Elephas maximus indicus: one gene and its partner. The protein of the gene in region 2 interacts with the protein of the main gene of each other region in a biochemical or structural test. Links are inferred from orthologs where the notes say so. Each region holds a gene or a part of one and is shown on either strand. Other genes may lie near its edges.

Evidence for each region.
Region 1: the proteins of JUN (region 2) and PIN1 form a complex in vitro, tested with the Homo sapiens proteins (2 studies listed by BioGRID). The link is inferred for Elephas maximus indicus from reciprocal best matches to the Homo sapiens genes JUN and PIN1.

What each region holds. Positions count from the first base shown.
Region 1 is NC_064821.1:28,011,228-28,018,159, reverse strand, and holds the start of PIN1 (peptidyl-prolyl cis-trans isomerase NIMA-interacting 1), read right to left. Parts: upstream 3,085-6,932; 5' UTR 3,043-3,084; coding exon 2,985-3,042; intron 99-2,984; coding exon 1-98. UniProt on the Homo sapiens protein: Peptidyl-prolyl cis/trans isomerase (PPIase) that binds to and isomerizes specific phosphorylated Ser/Thr-Pro (pSer/Thr-Pro) motifs.
Region 2 is NC_064821.1:103,111,792-103,118,406, forward strand, and holds JUN (transcription factor Jun), read right to left. Parts: upstream 1,900-6,615; 5' UTR 1,868-1,899; coding exon 878-1,867; 3' UTR 523-877; downstream 1-522. UniProt on the Homo sapiens protein: Transcription factor that recognizes and binds to the AP-1 consensus motif 5'-TGA[GC]TCA-3'.

The DNA of each region.
Region 1 (6,932 bases), about 75 Mb from region 2:
AGGCTCCCCCTGCCCGTTTTTGCTGCCACCGCTGCTATTGCCACTGGGTCGCTCCCACTGGCTGGCATTAGTGATGTGATTGAAGTAGTACACCCGGCCTGGAAGGGAGGAGAGATGGGAATTCAGTTAGGGCTGTGCTCGCAGATGCCACCCTGGAGCCCTAACCAGAGGCCAGGGTACAGACATGCCTTCATTAAGCAAATAAACTGTGCACCCACCATGTGCCACAGGCCCGGGGACACTGGAGCCAACTTGGCAGGACATAACCCTGCTGTAGCGTGATGGATTGCTTTTATATGGCCTTTCTTGCCATGGTCTTGTAACTCTCACCACATGATTGGGTGGGACCATGTAAATAAGATGTATGGAACCCTAACAAGGGGATTGGTCAGTTTTGCCATTCCACTAGGCTTAAAATGAGCCATCCCATAGGTGGAAAGGGAGGACCTCACTACCACCAAAAATAAGAAATGGGAGCAGAGCATGCTGAGAATCTCCTAGACCCAACAGACAAAGATAGAGAGCTATAAAAGTACAACTTAGCGAGAAGTGGCAGCAGAGAAACAGCAGAAGAACCAGGAGGCTGGTGCAAGATGGTGCAGTGGGCCTCCCAGCCCACGGAGTAATACGGTTACAGTGGGTGTGCTGACCCACGGAGTGAGAGAGCTAAGCACCTTTGGGCAGGAGCCTTCCTGGAGGAGTGGAGTGCCTCTGGGTACTTATTAGCAGAGCTAAAGAGCTTTGTTTAACACTTGCCTGAGCACCCAACAGGCTCAAACAGCAACGACTTTGAGGATGGTACTGGACCAGGCAGTGTTTTGTTCTATTGTACATAGGGTTGCTATGAGTCAGAACTGACTTGACGGCACCTAACAACAACTACTTCTCTAATACACCCCATAACTATGAGTATGATCTGTGAGTTCTGTTTAGCCACTGCAATGGACTATCAAACCCAGCACAGTAGCAGAGAGTGCTGTCGGAGGTATAGCTGGTGTCAGAATTGGTAAAAAGACTGGAAACAGGCAGTATGTCTGACCTCCACCCTCATAGGAATCAGCGTGGGGCTGATGTGGATGGCAATTCTCTCTCCCTCTCACGAAGTTAGAGAAGGTCAGATGCCCCTAACATGCCATTTTTAACACCTATCTTATGGAGCTAACATTCTAAGTGGGGGCAGACAGACACTAAACAAGCAAATAAGATAACTTCAGTCGCTGGTAACTTCAAGGAGGAAAATAACCCAGGGTGGCGGAACAAGGCAAACCTGGGAGACAGGAGACTGATTCAAAGCATTCATTCAGCAGACCGCCTGTCTGGGTTCAAATCCAGCCCTGCCACTTACCCAATGATCTACCTTCCCTGGACCTCAGTTTTCTCACCTGTAAAATGGACATAACAATACCTGACTGTATGGTTGTTGTAAAGACTGAATAAGCTCACATCTGTAAACGGCTTAAAACAGCGCCTGGAACACATCAACAGTGTGATAGCTGTTATCATCTCCTTTTATAGATGACAAAATTGAGGCCTCGCCTTCCCCATCTTTAGTAATGGCAGTAACAGGTAACACTTCCTTACTGTTTACTCTGTTCCATGCACACACTTGGGCCCATCACCATTAAGGACCGGCTGTCACCCCCAAGGAAGGCTGTCAGGGTCCAGCTGAATAGAAATGGCATGAATGAGGGCCCAGAGGTGGGCGGAGCATGAGGTTTATGCTGTAGGTGCCAGTCAAAGGCCAGGGCAGGAACAGGGTGGGCAATGGCATGGGCTCTGAGGGCAAATCCAGTTGAGCCACTGACTTAAACTCTAAAATCGTGGCAATGGGCTCTACCTCCCCGAATCTCTGCTTTCTCATCTGAAAAGTGGGGGTGAGAGAATAAGGACATCAAATCTCATGGGATTAATGTGGAGAGTTGATGATGCACACGAAGTGCTCACCAGAGTGCCAGACACATGGTAAGCTCTCTAACAGAACCAAACCCATTGCCATCGAGTTGATTCTGACTCATAGCAACTCTATAGCACAAGTAGAACTGCCCTACAGGGTTTCCAAGGAGCGCATTGTGGATTCGAGCTGCAGACCTTTTGGTTAGCAGCCATAGCTCTTAACCACATGCCACTAGGGTTTCCAAACACTCCAAGTAAACAGGAATTATTACTGAGGTTACTAGAGACTTTGAGGCAATGCAGTGACTCCCCAAACACAACCAGGAAGTGGGCTTGCTCCTCCAGAGCTTGCAGTGAAGTGGCTGTGGGCAGGCAGCTCTGGAGCCCAGTCTACGCTCCCTGAACTGAATGACCTCAGGCGAGTTCCTTAAGTTCTGGCCTCAGTTTCTTCACCTACAAAATGGAGGTAACAACTACCTCCCTCCCACAGTTGTGGCGATTTGGAGAGAACACGCTTAAAATGCTTGGCACAATGCCTGGAGCAGAGATAAACGTGGCCTACTATTGGCGATAACCTTTAAATTCAGCCCAGGGCACAGGGGCCAGCCTCAAGCAGGATAACGGGGGACATTGCAGACTCAGCATTAGATGTGGACGCCAGGGGTTATGGCTTCTGGGTCGGGAAACACGCTGGGGCCACATCCTGTGGATGGGGTTGGGGTGTCGCCCCTGTGATGCCTCCGGGCCCGGAGGGATGTAAAGATGTCCACCCACGGGACTTCAGCCGAATTAGGCCCGGGCGTGTCGGCCGGGTGGGCAGGGACAGGGCCATCGCCCGGGAAGTGTGTGAGCTCACCGGCCCCTCACCCACCCCTCAGCGCGCTAAGCCTCCCTGGCGCCGCCGTGCCTCAGCTTCCCCACTCCTGAGGCCCACAGCAGCCACCGAATGTGCCCGGGCCGTTCCCCGGGATCGACGCAGAGAAGCCAAAACCCCACAGGAAAGAAGCGGCGGCGCCGCGCCCGAAGGGCAAGCTCGATCCCTGCTTCCATGGGCCCGCGCGATCCTACCCCAGCCCCAGCCCCTGAGGCACCTGAGCTGCGGCTCATGCGCTTCTCCCAGCCGGGCGGCAGCTTCTCTTCGTCCGCCATCTTCGCTCCTGCCGCAGCGCCCGCTCCGCCTCCGCCGCACCGCCTAGGTCTCCCGCGCCCGCCCGCCGCCACCGCCGATTGGCTCGGTGCGCCCCCGCACCCGGACCTTGGGGCGACGCTCACTGGATACCCCAACCGTCGGGACTCCCTTCCTGGCTTCTTATTGGACAGAAGCGAGGGTGGGCGGCTCCTCCCACATCTTATCTGGGCCCCGCCCCCTCGGCCCCTAAGTGGCAGGGAAGGGACTCAAGCCGGCCCTTCTCAACGCCCTTAGGCGAGCTCCAAAGAAGTCCCGACCACTCCTTTGCGTCCTTCGCCGCACAGCCCGCTCGGGCAGGAAAGAGCTTACTGATTGGCTACCGCAGTGGCTATTCCCGCCTTCGTAAACCATTCCTGAAGGCTGGCAATCCCTTGATTTCTACCCAAGCGGAAGTGTCTGGCTAGTATGGGGATAACGGCAGCCGACGAGGTACTTGGGAGTTGCGGTGCTGACTGTCCTGTTGCCATAGCAACCCAGTTACCTTGGTGAGGAGTGGCTAAGAATCCAGAAGCCTAAATTTGGCTTCTCCATCCTCCCTCGTCCCACCTGTTTCCTCCAGATGTCCAAAGCTAACCCGTCCCCCTTTTATTCTGTGCAAGGCTAACACTTCCCTATGCTACTGACCCAAACACCTTACATCTCCTTTGGGACCTACTTACATCACATTCTCTGTCAATCTCAATCTTCCCTCGTCCTGGGTGGCTGATGGGTGCTGGCATTGCCACTCAGGTGGGAACACTTTGCGGGGGGGGGGAAGGCGTGGGTAGGGCGGAGAGGGAAGGATGATGAGCTCAGTTTGAGTCAGTTTAAAATCGAGTCTGCGGTGCCCGTGGGGCATTGAGTAGGTGGTTGGAGACTCAGCTCTGGGGAATTGCAGGCGGGAGAGAGATACAGAAGTCAGACATTAAGAGAAGAGTTCAATGACAGTTATCTGTAGCGTGTACCCTATAATGACCATTTAAAAAATGTTGCACAGTGACATGAACGCATAGGGAATCAAGTCCAGAACAAATTAGAGGCAGGATATGATAGAAGGTTAAAAGCACACCCTGGAGCCACACTGCTTGGACTCAAAACTCCACTTAGCCACTTGCTATGACCTTGAGCAAATTACTTAGCTTCTGCACTTCAGCTTCCCCATCTACAAAAGGGGGATGAGAAATAATACATACCTCATCAGATTGATGGAAACCCTGGTGGCACAGTGGTTAAGTGCTACAGCTGCTAACCAAAAGGTCAGTAGTTCAAATCCACCAGGCACTCCTTGGAAACCCTATGGGGCAGTTCTACTCTGACCTATAGGGTCTCTATGAGTTGGAATCGACTTGATGGCAATGGGTTTGGTTCATCAGTTTGACGTGACGTTTAAATGATGCTGGGTGAAAAAAGCAAGTCATACCACCAAAACCAAACCCAGTACTAGAGTTCCCAAATACTCTTCACCCAGCTTTCCCTTCTGTTAGCATCTTACATAACAATAAAATAGTATTCAACCAGGGCACTTTTGCCCCCCAGGGGACAGCTGGCAATGTCTTCAGACATTTTTGTTGTCACAGATGGGGGGGGTGGAGGGCGGGGATACTACTGGCATCTAGTGGGTAGAGGTTGTTTTAGTTATCTAGTGCTGCTGTAACAGAAATACAAGTGGATGGCTTTAACAAAGAGAAATTTATTCCCTCACAGTCTAGGAGTCTAGAAGTCCAAATTCAGGGCAGCAGCTCCAGGGAAAGGCTTTCTCTCTCAGTTCTGGGGGAAGGTCTTTGTCATCAATCTTCCCCTGATCTAGGAGATTCTCAGTGCAGGGAACCTGGGTCCAAAGGAAGCACTCTGCTCCTGGCACTTCTTTCTTGGTGGTATGAGGTCCCTCTCCTCTCTTCTTGATTCTTTTATATCTCAAAAGAGATTCAAAGTACAACCTAATCCTGTAGATTGCCTCCTGCCTCATTAAGATAACTGTCTCTAATCCTGTCTCATTAACATCATAGAGATTAGGATTTACAACACAAAGGGTAATCACATCAGATGACAAAATGGTGAACCACCACACAATACAGGGAGTCATGGCCTAGCCAAGTTGACACACATTTTAGGGGGATACAATTCAATCCCTAACAGAGGCCAAAGATGCTGGCTAAACATCCTACACTACACAGCACCCCTACATACAAGAATTATCCAGCCCAAAATGTCAATAATGCCAAGGTTGAGAAAACCTGCCATAGAAAAATTATCAAATCTAAGAAATAAACATCAGTACAATACTATTAGCTATACTACAGACTTTTTTCTAGATTTCCCCAGGTTTTTGAATATTTTTTTTTTTTTTTGGTTTCAGAATCTCTCATTGTCATGTCTCCTCCAATATGTGACAGTTCCTTGTCTTTCATGACAGACTCTTCTGAAGAGTAGAATGTCTCTCATTCCAATATTGTCATGATGTGTTTGTCTAATTTCTCACAATTAAATTGAATTATGTATCACCAGGAAGAATACCAGAAGCAATGTGCCCTTCCTGGTGCATCATATCAAGTGGTAGATGATTTTGAAATGTGTTACTGATTGTCTTAGGTATGGACTGCCACATAACAAATCACCCACAACTTAGTGAATGAACATTTATTATCTGTTTCTGTTGAGTCAGTAGTCCAGGCACTTTAGCAGGATGCTTCTGCCTCAAGGTCTCTTAACAGACTGTAATCAGGTGTTGGCAGAGATGGTTGCAGTCTCATCTGAAGGCTTGACTGGGGCAGGGATTGTTGGCAAGATTCAGTTCCTCACAAGAAGTTGGACTGAGGGCTATATTCTTCACTGGCTTTGGCTGGTGGTCTCTCCATAAGGCAGCTCACAACATGGCTGCTGATTTTCATCACAGAACAAATAAGAAAGCAAGAGAGCAAGCAGGATGGAAGCCAGTCTCTTTGGAACCTATCTCAGAAATTGCATCCCATCACCTACACTCAAGAGGAGGGGATTATACAAGGTTGTGAATACCAGAATGTGGGGATCATTAGGAGTCATTTCAGGGGTTGCATACCACATATATTAACTTTGACCATTTCCTTAAGGCGGTATCTAAACTTACTGTTTTTCCCTTTGTAATTAATATTTAAGGCAGATACTTCAAGATTATGCAAATATCCTACTTCTGCTTAAATTCTGACCACAAAATTTTACCATCTAACAGTGGGTCACTATGAGTCGGAATTGACTTGGCAGCACTGGGTTTGGTTTTTTTTTTTTTTTAACAGTGGATCTTGCCTATGGCAATTAGTGCTGTGGTGTCCAATGGTGATTTCTCATTTCTATACTTCCACATTTATTTATTGGAATCCTCCTGTAAGAAAAGGTTCTCCTTTCTCCACATTTATTTCTTCAGTTAGTTTTTGGATATTCAAGTCCCTGGGTGGTACAAACGGTTAGCTGCTTGGCTACCAACCAAAAGGCTGGTGGTTCGAGTCCACCCAGAGGTACATCGGAAGGAAGGCCTGGCAATCTACTTCTGAAAAATCTACCCCTGAAAACCCTATGAAGCAGTTCTACTCTGACATACATGGGTTCACCATGAGTCGGAGTTGACTCAGTGGCAGCTTTTTTTTTTTTTAGTTAAAATGGGCTCAAAATTATTTTATTCTTTGGATTATAATTCAATACCATCATTACTTTGTTGCTCAAGTTGTTCCAGGTTTGGCCATTTGGAGCCCTTTCAGTTTGGTTCCTGTGCTCTCTCAACACACTCCCATCCTTTTTTATTTGGGCACTTCCTACTTTCTGGCACCACAGATTGCTCCAGGCTCATCTTGTATTTTCCCTGCCCAAGCCCTGGAACCAACTCGTTTTTCCCAGAAGGCCT
Region 2 (6,615 bases):
GTTTTATTGCTTGATAGTAAGCATTGAGAATGATTTTAATTGACACTCCTAACTCTTTCAACTCCGCTTAGATGGTTAATCTATAGATAATGCAGAAAAGAGGTTGGTGGGGAGTATTTTTTCAATATTTTATTGTATTTTCTTAAATATCCTTTCTGGAATTTTCAGAAACAAAACATAAAAAAAATTATATACTTTATTACAAATTACAAATGGTAAACTCAGAGAGTGCTCCAAATCTCTTATTTACAAACAACACTGGGCAGGACACCCAAACAAACAAACAAACATGAAATAACTTACAAAGTCATGAAGCTGTTTATTGACAGTAATCAGCTTTCATCAAATTAAAAAAAAATATATGTACATACACAGTTAACGAAGGCAGGCCAGAAAGAGTTCATCTGTAGGCTCAGCTTCCCTCTCACACACCTCCCTCCCGCCTCCCCTCCCCACCCACCTCCCTTTGTGTTCTTAAGGAGTACTACAGAAGCAATCTACAGTCTCTATTGCAGTTTGTAACCCCTCCCCCACCCCCCTTTTAATACTGAATGAGATCGAATGTTAGGTCCATGCAGTTCTTGGTCAATGTTAAAGAAAAGTCTAACGTTCCGTTCGCGCGGGGACTGCCCGTCCGCAAAGCGGGGCAGCCCGCAGGCTGCTGCTCCCTGGCTCCACGCCAAGGGAGGGCGCGCCAAGTCCTTCCCACTCGTGCACACTGGGGGCGCCGTCAGGACGCAACCCAGTCCAACTTGGATACCCTTGGCTTTAGTCCTCGGACACTTCTTTTTTCTCTCTCTCGCAACTTGTCAAGTTCTCAAGTCTGTCTCTGTTATTTGTTTGTCTCCGTTTCCCCTCAACCCCCGACAGTCTCTCTTCAAAACGTTTGCAACTGCTGCGTTAGCATGAGTTGGCACCCACTATTAACGTGGTTCATGACTTTCTGTTTAAGCTGTGCCACCTGTTCCCTGAGCATATTGGCCGTGGACGCCAGCTCCGAGTTCTGCGCTTTCAAAGTTTTCACTTTTTCCTCCAGCCGGGCGATCCTCTCCAGCTTTCTTTTCCGGCACTTGGAGGCAGCGATGCGGTTCCTCATGCGCTTCCTTTCCGCCTTGATCCGCTCCTGTGACTCCATGTCGATGGGGGACAGGGGCGGCGTCTCCCCGGGCATCTCGGGGACCGTCTGCGGCTCCTCCTTTAGGGCCTGGAGTCGAGGGTGCTGCACGGGGATCTGCTGGGGCAGGTGATGTGGCGGCTGCGGCTGCTGTTGGGGCTGCGCGGGAAAGGCCAGGCCGCCGGCGCCATAGGAGGGCGCCCCGCCGCCGCTGCTCAACGCGCCCGGGTTGAAGTTGCTAAGGTTGGCGTAGACTGGCGGCTCGCTGTGCAGGCTGGCGCTGAAACCGCCGCTGCCGCCCGCCACGGAAGCCACCGCCGGGGCCACCATGCCCGCCCCGCTGACCGGCTGCGCCGCGGACGTGACGCTTGGCAAAGTGTTCTGGCTGTGCAGTTCGGCCAGGGCGCGCACGAAGCCCTCGGCGAAGCCCTCCTGCTCGTCCGTCACGTTCTTGGGGCACAGGAACTGGGTAGGGGTCGGCGTGGTGGTGATGTGCCCGTTGCTGGACTGGATAATCAGGCGCTCCAGCTCGGGCGACGCCAACTTGAGCAGCCCGACGTCGGGCGAGGTGAGGAGGTCCGAGTTCTTGGCGCGGAGGTGCGGCTTCAGGCTGCCCACCGGGTCAGCCAGGTTCAGGGTCATGCTCTGTTTCAGGATCTTGGGGTTACTGTAGCCGTAGGCGCCGCTCTCGGACTGGAGGAAGGAGACGTTGAGGGCATCGTCATAGAAGGTCGTTTCCATCTTTGCAGTCATAGAAGAGTCCGTCACTTCACGTGGGGTTAGTTTGGGCTGCGCGCAGAAGTTTCGGGGCCGCAACAGCGCGTTGGCAAGCGAGGGGTACCCGCGCCTCCCGCGGCCTTTGGCAAGGAAAGTTTCTCTAAGAGCGCGCGCACACGCTGGCTGTCCTCCCCCCAGCGCCCTCCTCACCAGCTCGCTCCAGAGAACGCAGGCTTAAGATGCCGCCTGCACCCTTCCTTCTCCGCTCTCGCGCGCTGCCTCTCTTTGAAAAGTCGCGGTCACTCACTGAGCGCTCAGCGGGCGCAGTGGTTGCTCGGACGAACTCGCTTCCCGGGGACAGCGGTCTCGAAGCGGTGCCGCTTAGTGCAGATCCGGCAGTGGCGAGCCGGCGGCGGGTCGCAGCCGCCCCGACTCCGACGACTCTCCCCTCCTCCGCTGCGAGGGGAGGGGGCTCCTGGCACCAGCAGCTCTCGCTCGCCCAAGTTCAGCAACCGGTGTGAGCGAAGCTGGACGCGCGTCCCTCCTCTCTTTCCTCTCCTGCCGCCTTCTTCTTTATCGCCGCTGCGGCAGCTTAAGAGGAAAGGTTTGCAAACGTTCGCTTCGGGACCCGGGTACCACTTGTCCCCTCTCCTCTCGGCTGGGAAAGTTCTTTGCCGCTGCAGCCGCTCGCTGGACTTCCCCCGGCTGGCGGGCAGTCACAGCTCTCCGCGGCTGTCAACGCCCGGGCAGCGGTGCTCTCTTCCCGGGGCTACTGGAGAAGGGGCTCTCCGGGCGCTCCCCAAAACACCAGCCCGGAAGCCACAGGCGCTAGCTCTGGGCGGTTAGCGAGAAAATGGAAAAGAAAAGAAGATTTGCAGTTCAGACTCTGCTGCCTTCCTGACTGACTGTCTCTGTCTGTCTGTCTCAGTCCGCGCGCCTCCACTCCCGCCTCGCTGCTTCAGCCACACTCAGTGCAACTCTGAGCCCTTATCCAGCCCGGAGCTCAACACTTATCTGCTACCAGTCAACCCCTAAAAATAGCCCATGATGTCACCCGGAGGCCTTCCCATTGGCTCGTGTCGCTCTCAAGGGGGCGGGCCCGCCCGTCACCATGGAGACCCCACCCTAGAAGATTCTTCTCCGGACCCGCGGAGGCTCACGGGATGAGGTAATGCTCCGCTGCCCTCCTACAGTTGGGCCCTTCTTTCTCGTCCTCTCCCCCCTCCCCCCCCCCCTCCCGCGCGACTCTGGCCCTTCTCTCCCCCTTCTCCTCCCAGGCCAGTCCTTCCCGGCCCGCCCGGTGCATTGTGGGCTGACGTCTTGGGGTTTGACTGTCTGGTGACGGTGGCTGCCGCGAGCGGGAGGACTCTCCCAGCCTCTGACCCAGGCGGGCTCAAGCTCGGGACCGAGATGCAGGGGATGCGGGGCCCCGGAAGGCTGGGGGACCGGGGTAGTTGTCTGGGGCCGAGGGTGTGGGGTGATGTGTGGTTTTTCGCCACTTGGGAGGCGCGAAGTTGGCCGAGGCATTTCGCCGCGCGGGGTTGGGAGGCTGGGAGCCCGCGTCGGTGACCCCCCCGCACTTCCGGGGGCGGGAGCGCCGCCCTTAAGGTGGCTCTGTTTAGTCCCCCGTGGGGGTGAGCTTAAGTGGGCCCAAGTTTAGGGCTGGTCGCACGGGGGTTGACCCCCCACGTTGAGGACGCTCTGAAGTTTGTCTCTCGTTCAAGTTCACGAGCGACCGTCCTCTCCGCTCTCTGGCAGTGCCCAGAGCCGAGTGGTTTGCATTGCTTGAAACTGGGCGCTCCGCTAAGTCCCGCTGCACCTCACGTCACCCTTCGGGGACCCTGGGGGGAAGAGGGTTGCAGGAGTTTACAGCTTTGCCTTGGAGGTGAGGTTTTTACAGGGGGAAGAATCAGGGGGCAACTCAGCGTCCATTTCGGAACAAGCGTTTAGGGATTCCGAAATTCTGGGAACCCCGGTGATCTTCTACCACACACCCCACCCTGCACACACACCACACACACACACACACACACCCGCCCTGATTTGCTTCGGGGAAAACAAGTGTCGAAAGCGGCAGAGACTCGCCAAAAGTCACGCAGCGACTCAGGAGCTTAAAAATCTCTCGACTCCCTGCTGGGTGGTGAGCTGATACCTTGTGCAGCCTCTAGGAAGCGCTAGACACATATAAGTGGTTGCTTTCTGTGGTGGTTATTTATCTGCCCCGCCCCCTCACTCCTCCCCACTTCAGTGACAAAATGTATGGTGGAAGGAATACCGAAGTCGGGAATCCTGCGTTCTGTCTGCCCCGTGCTGCCACAGTGTAAGTGAGCGATCACTGAACTTCTCTGTGCTTCACTTCCCTCATCTGCAAGTTAGCTGGTTAGATCTGCTTCCCTGGGCTGCAGGCGTTAGTGTATCATCTTGCCTCCGTGGCTAAGGAGGTGGTCGCCAAACACCCATTCCTTGACCTTCCTCCAAGTTTCCCAAAGCATTGTAGGAGGATGGAATGCCAGGACATAAGAGTGTAATTTGGCAGGACAAGGTCTGCTTTCCAGTGAGGAACACTGAGGGGAGGAGGTGAGTGAGGGTGGATCCGGTTAGAAGGCAACTCTTTCCCAGGCCGCCTCTCTAGGTCTAGGGTTTGAAGTTGGATCTGTAGTAGTTGAAGTTCCTAGGTACTTATTCTGACTTTTCTGCCTCTGAACTCGGGGGAATTCAGTCTTGAGTTCATAGCCCCCAGCCTTAAGGTATTTGTGGCTTTGAAAGTTCAGAATCAACAGCAGCTGGTGTTGGTGGAGAATCCGCCGATTTTTTTTCACTTGAGGCACTCAACTCTTCATTCATTCGTGTGGGAGAGGATACCTAAGTAGCTACTGTGAGCCAAGCACTGAGCTGGGACAAAATGTGAGGAGGCGGGAGGGGTAGGGATGCAACGATGGCAAAATCCAGTTCCTTCCCTTAAGGAGGAAACACTGTCCTCTATACTGTTGCCATGAATTATTTTCTGTTACATTTTATAACCAGAGAGCTGGTATTCTTAATTTTTAATATCACCGTAATAAAAATGATTTTCATGTATTGAATGAGTATTTTCCAGACATTCTCCTAAGCAATTTAAATATGCTGTTTTCTCCCCACAGCCATCTTGATAAGCATATATTATTATCATTTGTGTTTAACATGTGAGGAAATAGGCCCAGAGATTTCAAGTATCTTGTTCAGGACACACAGGCAGTTGAAAATTGACCTCGGATTTGTATTAATTTCCTTATTGTATCTTCTTGGCTCTGATAAACTTTCTTGTGAAGTATTAGTTGCCTGCAGAAGAAATGGAGCTTGTGGGAGAGGGGAAGTCATCTTGCCTGATCTCTGACGGTAACTCCTTTCAAAGCTCCCGTATTTAGACTTAGGAGTGTGGATAAATATATATCCTTTGCCTAAGGGTTCTGTGTGTTCTCTCTGCCTTATGTGATTTAGTAGGCTGATTTTCTCCTTATGCTGAGAAATGGCATATTTCATCCCCCCGAAATAACAAATCTGTTCATGATAACGCCCCTGCTTAGAAGCCTTCATTGGCTTCCCCCTTACTACAGAAGAAGGAGACCTGGTGGCATAGTTATTAAGCTCTTATCTGCTAACTGAAAGGTTGCCGGTTCGAACCCACTGGCTGCTCTGAGGGAGAAAGATGTGGCAATCTGCTTCTGTAAAGATTTAAACCAAAACCAAACCCACTGCAGTAGAGTCGATTCCGACTCATAGCGACCCTATAGGATAGAGTAGAACTGCCCCATAGAGTTTCCAAGGAGCACCTGGTGGATTTGAACTGCCGACCTCTTGGTTAGCAACTGTAGCACTTAACCGCTACGCCACCAGGGTTTACAGCCCTGGAAATCCTATAGGACGGTTCTACTCTGTCCTACAGGGTCACTGTGAGTTGGAATCGACTTGATGGCAGTGGGTTTGGTTTTTTTGGTTTTACTACAGAAGAGAGTTCAGACTCCTTTGCCTAGGAGAAGGGGAGCTTTACATTTTAGCTCCTGCTTTCCCCAATCTCTCCTCTCACTCCCAGTATCAGCCAGGAAAGGCTGGCTTTATGCTGCCGTAACAAGCCCTAACATCTCAGCGGCTTTCATTGGGTTACAGTCAAAGTTTATTTTTTGCTCATGCTACTTGTCCTATGTGGGTCTGAAGGGGAGCTCTATTCAGTGTAGTCACTCAAAAGACTCAGACAGAAGGAAGCTTCACCTTGACACATGCTTCTCACAATTATTTTGGCTGGGGGTAGAGAACGGGCTCTCAGCACACCCACCCGGAAGTGTCACACATCACTTCTGCTCATATATTGTTGGCCAAAGCAAGCCACATGGCCATGTTGTTGTTAGGTGTTGATTTTGGATCTAAGTAAAATGAAATCCTTGACGACTTCAGTCTTTTCTCCATATATCATGATGTTGGCCATGCCTAACTTCATATCTGTGTAATGCTGCCAAATGTTTTAAAAGGAGAGAGCCAGGAATATTTGGGGACCAACACTAGACTCTTAACAGTCTCCTTTTCTCTTCACCAAATGTTTGGCTCACTCTCCTCCCACAGACAAAAGTCCCTTACTCTTTTCTCAAGGGAGAGTGGCATGGATTGAATTGTGTCCCCCCAAAATATGTGTCAATTTGGCTAGGCCATGATTCTCAGTATTGTGTGGTTGTCCTCCATTTTGTGATCTGACGTAATTGTCCTATGTGTTATAAATCCTAGCTCTATGCCTGTGGTTATGGTCCCATTTCAGA